Caenorhabditis elegans: one gene and its partner. The protein of the gene in region 1 interacts with the protein of each later gene in a pairwise test. Each region holds a gene or a part of one and is shown on either strand. Other genes may lie near its edges.

Region 1 (5,217 bases):
GTTTTGGTTAGAAAACCTGTACTGAATGTTACTGATATAATTTTTCTTGAGGCCAGAAATTTCATTTTTGCCTTCGAAATAAAAACTGGAAGTTTAAGTATTTCTATTTAAATATGTCCAAATTAAAAAAAAGTTATTTGCATCTAAAAATTTACTGAAACTTTACACTTTTCTCCCGAAAAAAACTTCAATATTCAGTTCTAAATTTCTGAAAATTAAAATTTATTTTCTGAAAACGTCTGAAATTTCAAACTTTTCATATAAAAATGACAAAAATTTTAGAGATTCCTGTGCAAGAATGTCTGAAGTTTCAAAGGTACTTATTAAAAATTCTTCAAAATCTGAATTTCCATATTGAAATTGGCGGCATTTTTATTTCTTCCATGTTTAGAATTGTATGAACTTATGAAATTCTATTGAAAAATACGTAACGATTTTCCTTTCCCGTCTGAAATTTAAATTTTTATGTGAACACGTCTCAAAATCTGAATTTCTTATGGGAAAATATCTGAAGTTTCAATTTTTTTTTATTTGAAAATAAATTAAATTCATTTTTTTACGATTTTTTAGGTGCTGAAACTTTGAATTTTGTATCGAAAAATGTCTGAAAGTGAGAACTTCCAATTATAATTTTTCTTACATTTTTCTTGTTAGTTAGTTGAATTTTGAGTTTTTAAATTACTGAATTTCGAAATTCACGTGCTGAAAGTTATAAAAAACTTCATACGAGTTACAGCATTTTTTGAGATTTTGAAATTTCCAAATTTCGAAATCTCTTTTTTTCCCTATTTCCCCAAGATTAAACAATTGTCGATTTCAAAAAATTGCTTAGAACATCTCAAGTCTGCCATTCCCCACTCCAAAAAAAAAACAGGTTCCCATTATCATTCCTTATTCCCGTAGATTATCTCACCGTCTTCACCAGGTATCTTATCAATAGCTGGATGATTATGTAATTTCTTGCTGATGACATTTATTTTCTCGTTTTTCATTCCTAAGTTTTTTGTTTGGAAATCCTTTAGAATGCGAAACAATTTATTTACATTGTTGGCCACCTGTTAAAGTGACCTAATTGTTTGTTTGTTTTCTGTCCTTTTTCCCCCTGTTTTTTCAAAGTTAATTTTAAAAAACTTGACTCACTTTGTAGTTTGACCTTTGCTAAAAAAGCAGCCGACATCAGTCAAGGACCACTTATAAAATTTTGAGACATTGCTTTTTGGGGCCCAAAATCGTTAAAAACTACCGAATTTCGTAATGAAAAGTTTTGAAAATTTCTGGAAAAAAAACCGAAAAAAAAGTTCATACTTCAAAAAGAGCAAAATTTGATGGAAGTTTCTGTTCCTAACGTCAATAAAACAGTAGAAATTGACACAAATTGCTGGAATTTTGCGGTTAAACTCCAATAATTGACACTTTTAAAAGGCGAACAATTTTCTCGGTTTTGGAAACATTTCTAGCAAAACTGGTAGTTTTCTAAACTTTGGGGGCACTACAAACTACAAAAACCTTAATTTTCTGTATGTTCAATACTTCAAGAAGTTCGGAAACTTCCGCTCGAAAACTTCCGTTTTTCGAAACACTTATCCCTGATCACATGCTTATCTGACTTAACCCTATTATGATAATCATCCAATTTCTGTACTATTCTGAGCTCCTAGCACCGGAGCAAGCACTTTCACCCCTAATTTCCCTCTATTATCAGTTGACTGATAACCTGATGGTTTGATCGCTCTCTGTTTCTCTCCGCCTCTCCATCTCTCTCCTCACACTCGTCCTGGCACTGATTGACGCTGTCCCCGCCTACTTTAGGATCCTTCATAAACTCGCCTCGGGAGGTGTTCATTGTAGTTCCTATTCCATTTCCATATTTTTTCGTGTTTCCCCTGCTTTTTGTAGAATTTTCAAATTAATTTTAAATGTTATAAAATTCCAGAATGAACCGATTCATTCTTCTGGCACTGGTTGCCGCCGTCGTCGCCGTCAATTCGGCCAAGCTGTCCCGTCAAATCGAGTCGGCCATCGAGAAATGGGACGACTATAAGGAGGACTTTGATAAGGAGTACTCGGAGAGCGAGGAGCAGACCTATATGGAGGCATTTGTCAAGAATATGATCCATATTGAGAATCACAACAGAGATCACCGACTCGGAAGAAAGACATTCGAGATGGGATTGAATCATATTGCTGACTTGGTAAGAATATGCATTTCAATGCACCATGAGCTGCGGCGTCCGACGTTTTGAGCTCCGGGGACTCAAATTCTGGCTCCGAGGACCGAAGTCTCTAGCTCCAGGGTCCCAAGTTTTGAGCTGCGGGGTTTCAAAATTCAAGCTCCGGTTCTTAAGTAACGAGCTCCGGGATCACAATTTTTGAGCCCAAGGATCTCAAGTTTGGAGCTCCGGAGTCCCAAGTTCCTAAAGCGAGGATTTTCAAGTTTTCCTTTTTTGCATTTCCTAATTTCGACAGATAAGAAAATAAATACCCCCTATAAAAACTTCAAAAAGCTGTTCTCTGTCTCGTTCCACTATCAAAATCTCACCCAGCGAGAAAAAAAAAGATAAAGATATGAAATCCTCGTCTCGTGACTGACCAACAGCTGGCTTATCACACCACCACACTGACAAAACACACGAAGGTCATTTGATTTTCAAACTCTTGTTTTTTTCAGCCATTCAGCCAATACCGCAAACTCAACGGTTACAGACGTCTCTTCGGTGACTCCAGAATCAAGAACTCCTCCTCTTTCTTGGCTCCATTCAATGTTCAGGTAATTTTTTGAGAGGGGTTTTGTTGGGGTCCAGACACTAACTTTCTCGTCGATCAAAACTATAAAACTATTTGCATAAACAAAAACGTTTTCAACGACCGATAAAAATAATTCTTCGCTGACCGTATTTTTTGAATTATCATCTCTGATGATTGATACGCTTGAAAATTGAATTTCGCAATGTTTTGGTCACCGAAATGTTTAAAAACAAGATTCAAATGGTTAGAACTGTTTTTGCTGAAATTTGAACACCAGAGCTTAGAGCTGTGATGAACTTCTAGGGGATAAGCCTAAGCCTGAGCTTCAGTCTAAGCCTAAATCTAAGCCTACGTCTAAGTGTACGCCTAAGCTTAAGCCTCAGCCTAAGCCTCAGCCTAAGCCTAAGCCTAGGCTTGAAACTGATTGTGAGTTGATGGATTTGGCTCAGTCCAGGAAGAAGTTTGGTCTATGCCTAAGCCTTAGCATAAGCTTGAGCTTCCCAAGCTTTCGGCTAAACCAAACCCTCAGCTTAAACTCAAGCCTAAACCTATTCAATTTTCAGGTCCCAGATGAGGTTGACTGGCGTGATACCCACCTCGTCACTGATGTCAAGAACCAAGGAATGTGCGGATCGTGCTGGGCCTTCTCCGCCACCGGAGCCCTCGAAGGACAACACGCTCGCAAGCTGGGACAACTCGTCTCCCTTTCCGAGCAAAACCTCGTCGACTGCTCTACCAAGTACGGAAACCACGGATGCAACGGAGGACTCATGGATCAAGCTTTCGAGTACATTCGTGACAACCATGGTGTCGACACCGAGGAGTCATACCCATACAAGGGACGTGACATGAAGTGTCACTTCAACAAGAAGACCGTCGGAGCTGATGATAAGGGATACGTTGACACCCCAGAAGGAGATGAGGAGCAACTTAAGATCGCTGTCGCCACCCAAGGACCAATCTCTATTGCTATCGACGCCGGACACCGCAGCTTCCAACTTTACAAGAAGGGTATGTTTTGTGGGAAGATGTGAGGGGGGGGGGGGTACTAGTTTTTATTGACGGGTCAGTTTTATTTGCATTTTGGATGATAATGATAAGAAAGCTAGTTACTCGGGTTTTTCATCAGAGACAGAGAGGGCAATAGTGATAAGAGAACTCGTGTTTTTGAATGATACCCTCTTGACAATAATAGTTTGGGTTCGAACTTGAATGTGAAAGTGGTGAAGGAATTTATAAATTGTTTAGTAGCAAAGTATAACCCCATCAGCCTAGGCCAAAGTCTAAGCTTAAGCTTACGATTAAGCCTAAGCCTAAGCCTAAGCTTACGCCTAAGCCTAAGCCTACGCCTAAGACTAAGCCTAAACCTAAGCGAAAGCCTAAGCCTAAGCCTGAGCCTAAGCTTAAGCCTAAGCCTGAGTCTAAGCCGTAGCTCAAGACTAAGCCTGAGTCTAATCCCAAGCCTAGCTCATAAGCCTAAGCTTAAACAAATGCCTAAACCAAAGCCTAAGCCTAGGCCTAAAACTAGGCCTACAGCATAAACTCAGCCTAAGTTCCACCGAATATCATCCATTTTCAGGAGTCTACTACGATGAGGAATGCTCATCCGAAGAGCTCGACCACGGAGTGCTTCTCGTCGGATACGGAACCGACCCAGAGCACGGAGACTACTGGATTGTCAAGAACTCGTGGGGAGCTGGATGGGGAGAGAAGGGATACATCCGTATCGCCCGTAACCGCAACAATCACTGCGGAGTCGCCACCAAGGCCAGTTATCCATTGGTCTAAATTTGAACTTAATAATTAATTTTTTTTTTTGGAAAATTTAATTGTAGCCCCGAATTGCAATTCTTTGACTCTTTTCTGTCAAGCTTTACCTCGTTTTCTGTATTTTTTTGGAATTTCTCTAATATCTATAATTATGTATTTCAAATTGTGGTGTACATAAACGATTTTTGAATTTAGTTTTGCATTTTTCTGTCTTAAAAACAAGTGAGGAAATAGTAAGAGCATATAATTAGCTCGTAACAAATTTGAATTATAGTTTTCGTTTTCGCTTTTAATTCAGACACCAAGTTGTGACGTCCTTTTTAGCGTGTCTACGCCCCTGCCTGCTTGCCTAGTCAATCAAAGTCCCCCACGAAAAATTAAATAAACATTGCAAAGCAGCGGTTGTCGATTGTTAACCCTCTCTCATTACAAACATTTGCCGCCGCTGTACACCGCGGTTCCATGGTGTAGCGGTTAGCACTCAGGACTCTGAATCCTGCGACCCGAGTTCAAATCTCGGTGGGACCTATGCTCTTTTTTCGCAGTTTCTAACCTCAGAAAGTAGACTGATGTTCTTTCCCAAGGGGTTCAATTTGCACGTATTTTTCAATAATTATCCACCTCTTTACTTTTTCCCCTCGAATTCATTCTATGCGTGTTATTCATCGAGCTATAAGTTTCCCTGCCTCTCAAATATTTTGT
Region 2 (5,839 bases), on another chromosome or scaffold:
CCACATCTTTCAGAGTGGTCTTCCAAATGTTTCGATGACGAACGTCAATTCCGTATCCAGACATCTAAACATTTATTTTTTTAAATCTAAAGTTAAATCAAATGAATTTTATAATTAAATCAATTTTCGATTAAAAAAAAAATCTTACTCCGATTTTGTTCAAAAGATGAACAAGAAGACCATTTCCGCATCCAATATCCACGAATTTATTCGGCTTTGGTAGGAGATCAGAATTGACAAGCTCCTAAAAATATTTTGAAAGATGGGAATTTTATTGAAATAGATAAATTTTACATTTATATATGAAGCAATCCCACAATCCTCGAAAATTGATTTTTGTGGATTAGAGTTTTCTGTCCATCCTTTGATCATTCCTCTGCCATAATCCTCTCGAATATGACGATATGTCTTGATGTAGGACTCTTTGTCGAGTAGAGAATTTGTCTTTCGAGATGATCTGCAATAAACGTTTAGACTTTGTTAAATCATAGCGTTCTCACTTTGAAAGATCAATTCCTTTCAACCAAGTGTACAATTGTTTGAATGCTTGTTTCTTCATAAATTCAAAATGTTCTTGAGAGGAATTAGCTTGCTTCAAAAACTGAAGTTGAATGGATGTATCTGTTGGGATTTTAATGGCAATTGAATACGGGCTCTCGAAATGTGGGTGTTGCATTCCATCGAGAGTAATTGGGTAGAATCGTACAAGGAGTTCTTCTGAAAACAAAAACATCATTTCAAAAGAAGACTAACTTCGAAACAAACCTTCATAGTAAGAAACTTCAAACGCATTATCTGAGAATTTATTATTAGCGAGATCCTTGTGTATGATTTTCGTAATAGCTATTTCGCTGCAATCTCTCGGGCAAAATTTGTAATGTGTTTCAAATGTTCTTAAAACTTCATTCCATAAATCTGAATCTGTATCCACTGAAACTGAAGTTGTAATTCTGTTACTGATAGCGTTTGGATATTCCTTCCAAAGACTGATAATCTGAATTTTTCTTTCAATTACAATATTCCAAATTACAATAACTACCTTATCAAAAAACGCTTTTGGATCAATAACCTCTTCGTATTCGGCGATTTGTTCTACAATAACTGTCCATGTTGAACCAGGAAACATAAAACGCCTAAAAACGTAAAATTTTAATTGAATATATTGGTAAACTAGTTTTTCAAAGGAAAAAGAAAATTATTCAATAAACTTTTATTGATTAGTTCGGCCGAAAATATCCAACACGCAGAAAGGTAAGCTTTTCGAAGATATAGAAAGTTCTAGAAAATTCGGAAATGTTCCTCTGAAAACTACAAAAACTAAGTCAGACTGAAACCAATGTCATAACTATGTGCAATGAGCCTTTAATACAGTAACCACCGCATAGCTTTGAGACGATCAGTGAAAAATTAAGCATTAGAGCGGTCAAACTAGACACCAATACACTTTTATCTGATTTTAAAAATTAAAATATGCTATTTTTATCGGAATTGCTGGGAAAAATATTGTCTAAAAATAAGAAAACAACTTTGAAGAAAATGCGCCAACACCCATGTGCTGGCGCAATTATCGATTAGTTGACGCACATCGCGGAGGATGACAATTCTGACCACAGCGGGAAACCGCGAAATTGTCAGCTTTTATCTGAAAATGTATGTGTTTTTGGACGAAATTTGTCATTCGCAATCATTCTTTTCGTTCGGTTCATCCATTGTTGGTGTTTGAGTAATTTTATGATTTTCTAAAACGCCTGATTTATTTTTAGACGTTTTCTAATTTGTCTTTTAAGACGAGAAAGCTGTTTTTCTGATAACCTAGAAAAACATTTTATAATAAACTATGCTTCGCAACTATCTTCTCCTAGCTGCTCTCATTTCGGATTGTTTTTAATTTTGATTTCTTTCAGATGTTGACATTGTTGAACAGATGGAGATCTCAGCCAGGAGGCGCTTCAAACGCAGGTATCAAAACTAATATCTATCAAGAAACGTTGTGAATTGTTCATTTTCAGCCGCATTCATTCGTGTTCTCGAGTCACCGAAATCAGCAGTGACCGACAAAGTGCTCGTTCTCAAAGCATTTAACGATTGGGATGTTCTTGTGAACACATGGTTTGAGGTCGCTGACGCCCTTCCAGCTGTAGAGCAGCTCCTTGACAACAACACGTTCCCAGAGCATTCATCCGCTGCACTGCTCGTCTCCAAAGTTTATTTCTGCTTGGAGCAGTATGAACGTGCTTTGGAGTTTGCTCTTCGTGGTGATTTCAACGTCGTTCCTGCTACAAGAACCGGTCTTGGAAACGACGCAGAATATGTTAACAAGATCATCGAGACGGCCATTGACACGTACAAGACGCTGAGCAAGCAAGGATCTGGAATTCCTCAGAAACTCCGAGATTTGATCGACCGAATTGTTGCTAGAAATCTGGATAAACGAGAGATATGGTTTGTCATCTCGTTAGGATTTGAGACGACCAATCTGGCTATGATCGACAGGGCCATTAGCGCGATGCCTGCAGATTTGACCATCAAGAATCAGAGTAAGTCAATAATAACTAAGCTGAAACGTCATTCTTTTTTGTGCAGCTACACTTGTCGAAACGCTCAACCGTGTTGTCAATGGCGCGTTCGATCGTTCATTCCGATTCCAAGTTATCGATACAGTCATCAAGACGTACTTGAAGTGCCCATCGCCGGACATGTCCAAGATTTGCGAGGTATGATTTATACAAATATCGAAGTAAAATTACAAAATAAACATTTTCAGTGTTACGTGCTCACGGATAACGCCGAGGCCGCTGCTGACACGATTACGAGTTTGATCGCGAAGTCTCTCAGCACTCGTGCATATCAGATCGCATTTGATTTATATGAAACAGCGAGTCAAGGATTCCTCGATCGAGTTTTGAAACGTTTCCAACAGCAGGATGCTCGTGATGAGAAGTCGATGGAAAAGATTCATTCAATTCTCAAAGGTCATGAAACTGTCAAGGCTTACCTCGACTTCTTTGTCCGTCATAATCACACTGATTCTGTTCTAATGGAAGAGATCAAGGAGAACATTCGAACAGCCTCTGCCCACAATGCTCTTCTCATCTCAAATGGTCTTATGCAATATGGAACTACTTGTGACGATTTCCTCCGTAACAACTTGAACTGGGTTTCCAAAGCTACGAACTGGAACAAGTTCAATGCGGTCGCTTCACTTGGACTCATTCATCACGGACAAGAATCGTCTGCAATGAAGGTACTTGAGCCATATTTGCCAAAGGAATCTGTCGAAGGATTTGGATTTAAAGAGGGAGGAGCAATGCTGGCATATGGATTGATTCACGCCAAACACGGAGATGCAACTGCCATGAGCACTCTGGCTCAGTGGCTCAAAACCGCCGAAAACGAGCCAGTGAGACACGGAGCTTGTCTTGGATTTGGAGTTGCTGGACTTGGATCGTCTTCTGTTTCGAATTACGAGAAAGTTCGGGAAGTTCTCCAACGTGATGAAGCAGTTTCCGGAGAATCCGCAGGAATCGCCATGGGCCTTATCATGGCTGGACATCTGAATCAAGAGGTGTTCAATGAGCTCAAGCAATACACTGTTGACACACAGCATGACAAAACTCAACGTGGTATCCGAACTGGACTTGCCTGTGCCGCATTCGGACTCCAAGGAGATGCTGAGCCTTACATCAAAGAAGCAATCGGAGCTAAGAGCAATCCAATGCTCCGTTCCACTGGAATCTGTATGCTGTCGATGGCTTACGCCGGAACCGGATCTCCAGATGTAGTACGCCGTCTTCTCGAGAAAGTAGCCACCGATCCAAATTTGGATGTCAAGAGATACGCTACAATTGGTATCGGATTCGTTCTCTCCAAGGATCCATCAACCTGCTTATCCTACGTGGCCATGCTCACCGAACATTTCAATGGACATGTCAGATACGGAGCAGCTATGGCACTGGGAATTGCTTGTGCTGGAACAGGAAACATGGTAAGATACTTTTTTCTGAAACCGGGGTTTGATATAATGAATTGTTTTTCAGGAAGCTATTGCTCTGATTGAGCCAATGATTTCTGATAAGGAAGGTTTCGTTCGTAAAGGAGCACTTCTTTCACTTGCTCTCATCATGTGCCAGCAGACAGACTACACTTGTCCCAAGGTGAACGGTTTCCGTAAGCAATTGCTCAAAAAGGTAACTCTATAAGAAAACAATCAAGTTTTTCAATAAATGTTTGTCAGATCGGAGAGAAGAACGAGGACTCTCTTGTCAAATTTGGAGCAATTATTGCTCAAGGACTTCTCGACATCGGAGGGCAGAACGCTGCGGTCACAATGCAAAATTCTGACAAGCAGCCAGATATGGGATCAATGGTCGGAATGATGTGCTTCCTTCACGGATGGTTCTGGCACTCGATGCATTTCTTCATCGCCCTTGCTGCTAAGCCATCATGCCTTGTGATGATGAACGAGAATCTGAAGATTCCAGTACTTGACTACATCTGCCATGCCAATAGTCAGAAGTTTGCCTATCCACCACGAGCCGAATCAAAGAAGGATAAGGATGTCAAAAAGATTGAGACTGTTGTTCTGTCCATCACCGGAAAGAAGAATGCGTCAAAGAAGCTGATCGCTGAGGAGAAAAAAAGACGAGAAGCTGCAGCTTCCGCTTCTAGTGCTGCTGCTGCCCCATCATCATCGTCCACTTCAGGAACAGCACCAGCTGCTGAAGATGAGAAAATGGAGGTTGATCAACCAGGAAAATCCAAGTAAGTTTGGAATGAGTGTCTAGGAAAAGTAGAATTCGTTTTTTTTGTCATAAAAATTAAAAAACCAAGATTTCCAAATTAACTTACAATTATTTCAGGAAAGAAAAGGCTCCAGAAAAGGACACGAAGCCATTGCACCGCCTACAGAATCCAGCTCGTGTGATTCCTGCTCAACGACAGCTAATCTCGATCAGTGACGCTCGAGCCTACAGTCCCATGAAGCCACTTTACAAGGGTGGAATTATTGTGGCGGATCGTGTTGATAAGGAGAGAGAGGAGAAGCTTGTCAGTGAAGTCGTCACTCAGGTCAATACTCCTGCGAGCTCTGGAAATACCGAAAACAAACCCCATTCGACGTTCGAGATCAATATCAACGATTTTTGATCAATTGCTGGATCATTCGATCAACTCTATCTCGCTCCCCCAATCCCATTCAAAACTTTTTTAATTTATTTTCCCCCTTCTACTCTATTTATGTTTGACTTCGAATCAACATGAACCCGCTGATTTTTGTATTTGTGTGTATACCTGAAAATGAAGAACATTTCACTTACATGAATTGAAGTCAAGCGATAATGACAAAAAATTTATTTTTGTTAAACAAGAGATCCTTTCTGGCCTCAAAATCTTGCTGTGTTATTCAAATGAAACAGCAACAAAAATGAATGAATAAATTCTGAAAATTTTAATAACGAAAACGTGAAGTAAAAAATTAATTTAATTATCCTCCTCGTCAGTTGATAGAATCTCGCCGTCTGATAACTCCTCTTCGGGATCTCGCTTTGGCTTCGGAGGAACAACGACCGCTGGTGTTGACGTGGATATGGCTGGCTTTTTAGCAGGCGATGGAGCTGCTTTCCGCGATGGAGGAGACTGGTTTACACGTTTTTTGGTGGGAGTGTCGAGGTGTTTCTGTAAATTTTGATTTTGAAAACATGTAATCGGGAAATTTTAAGCTAAAACAATATAAATAATAAAAACCAACATCTCTTCCTCTATCAGAAGACGACTTCTCTGGCAAACGATCCCTATCTTTTCCAAATTTCCTTCTAGATGTCGTTGGTATTTTATACTCCAT

What was found. The genes of interacting proteins can lie anywhere in the genome.
Region 2: the proteins of cpl-1 (region 1) and rpn-2 interact in a two-hybrid assay, tested with the Caenorhabditis elegans proteins (one large-scale study listed by BioGRID).

The regions. Positions count from the first base shown.
Region 1 is NC_003283.11:16,592,063-16,597,279, reverse strand, and holds cpl-1 (Cathepsin L-like), read left to right. Parts: upstream 1-1,933; 5' UTR 1,934-1,934; coding exon 1,935-2,192; intron 2,193-2,668; coding exon 2,669-2,767; intron 2,768-3,308; coding exon 3,309-3,756; intron 3,757-4,324; coding exon 4,325-4,533; 3' UTR 4,534-4,708; downstream 4,709-5,217. UniProt on the Caenorhabditis elegans protein: Cysteine protease which plays an essential role in the degradation of proteins in lysosomes.
Region 2 is NC_003281.10:6,197,282-6,203,120, forward strand, and holds rpn-2 (26S proteasome non-ATPase regulatory subunit 1), read left to right. Parts: upstream 1-1,898; 5' UTR 1,899-1,904; coding exon 1,905-1,959; intron 1,960-2,009; coding exon 2,010-2,537; intron 2,538-2,583; coding exon 2,584-2,714; intron 2,715-2,764; coding exon 2,765-3,985; intron 3,986-4,037; coding exon 4,038-4,187; intron 4,188-4,234; coding exon 4,235-4,761; coding exon of another isoform or gene 4,762-4,765; exon of another isoform or gene 4,766-4,859; coding exon 4,860-5,145; 3' UTR 5,146-5,313; downstream 5,314-5,839. Other genes in the region: C23G10.7 (putative tRNA (uracil-O(2)-)-methyltransferase), read right to left, coding at 1-64, 149-244, 295-457, 501-717, 766-994, 1,040-1,126; sna-3 (NADAR domain-containing protein), read right to left, coding at 5,479-5,673, 5,747-5,839. UniProt on the Caenorhabditis elegans protein: Acts as a regulatory subunit of the 26 proteasome which is involved in the ATP-dependent degradation of ubiquitinated proteins.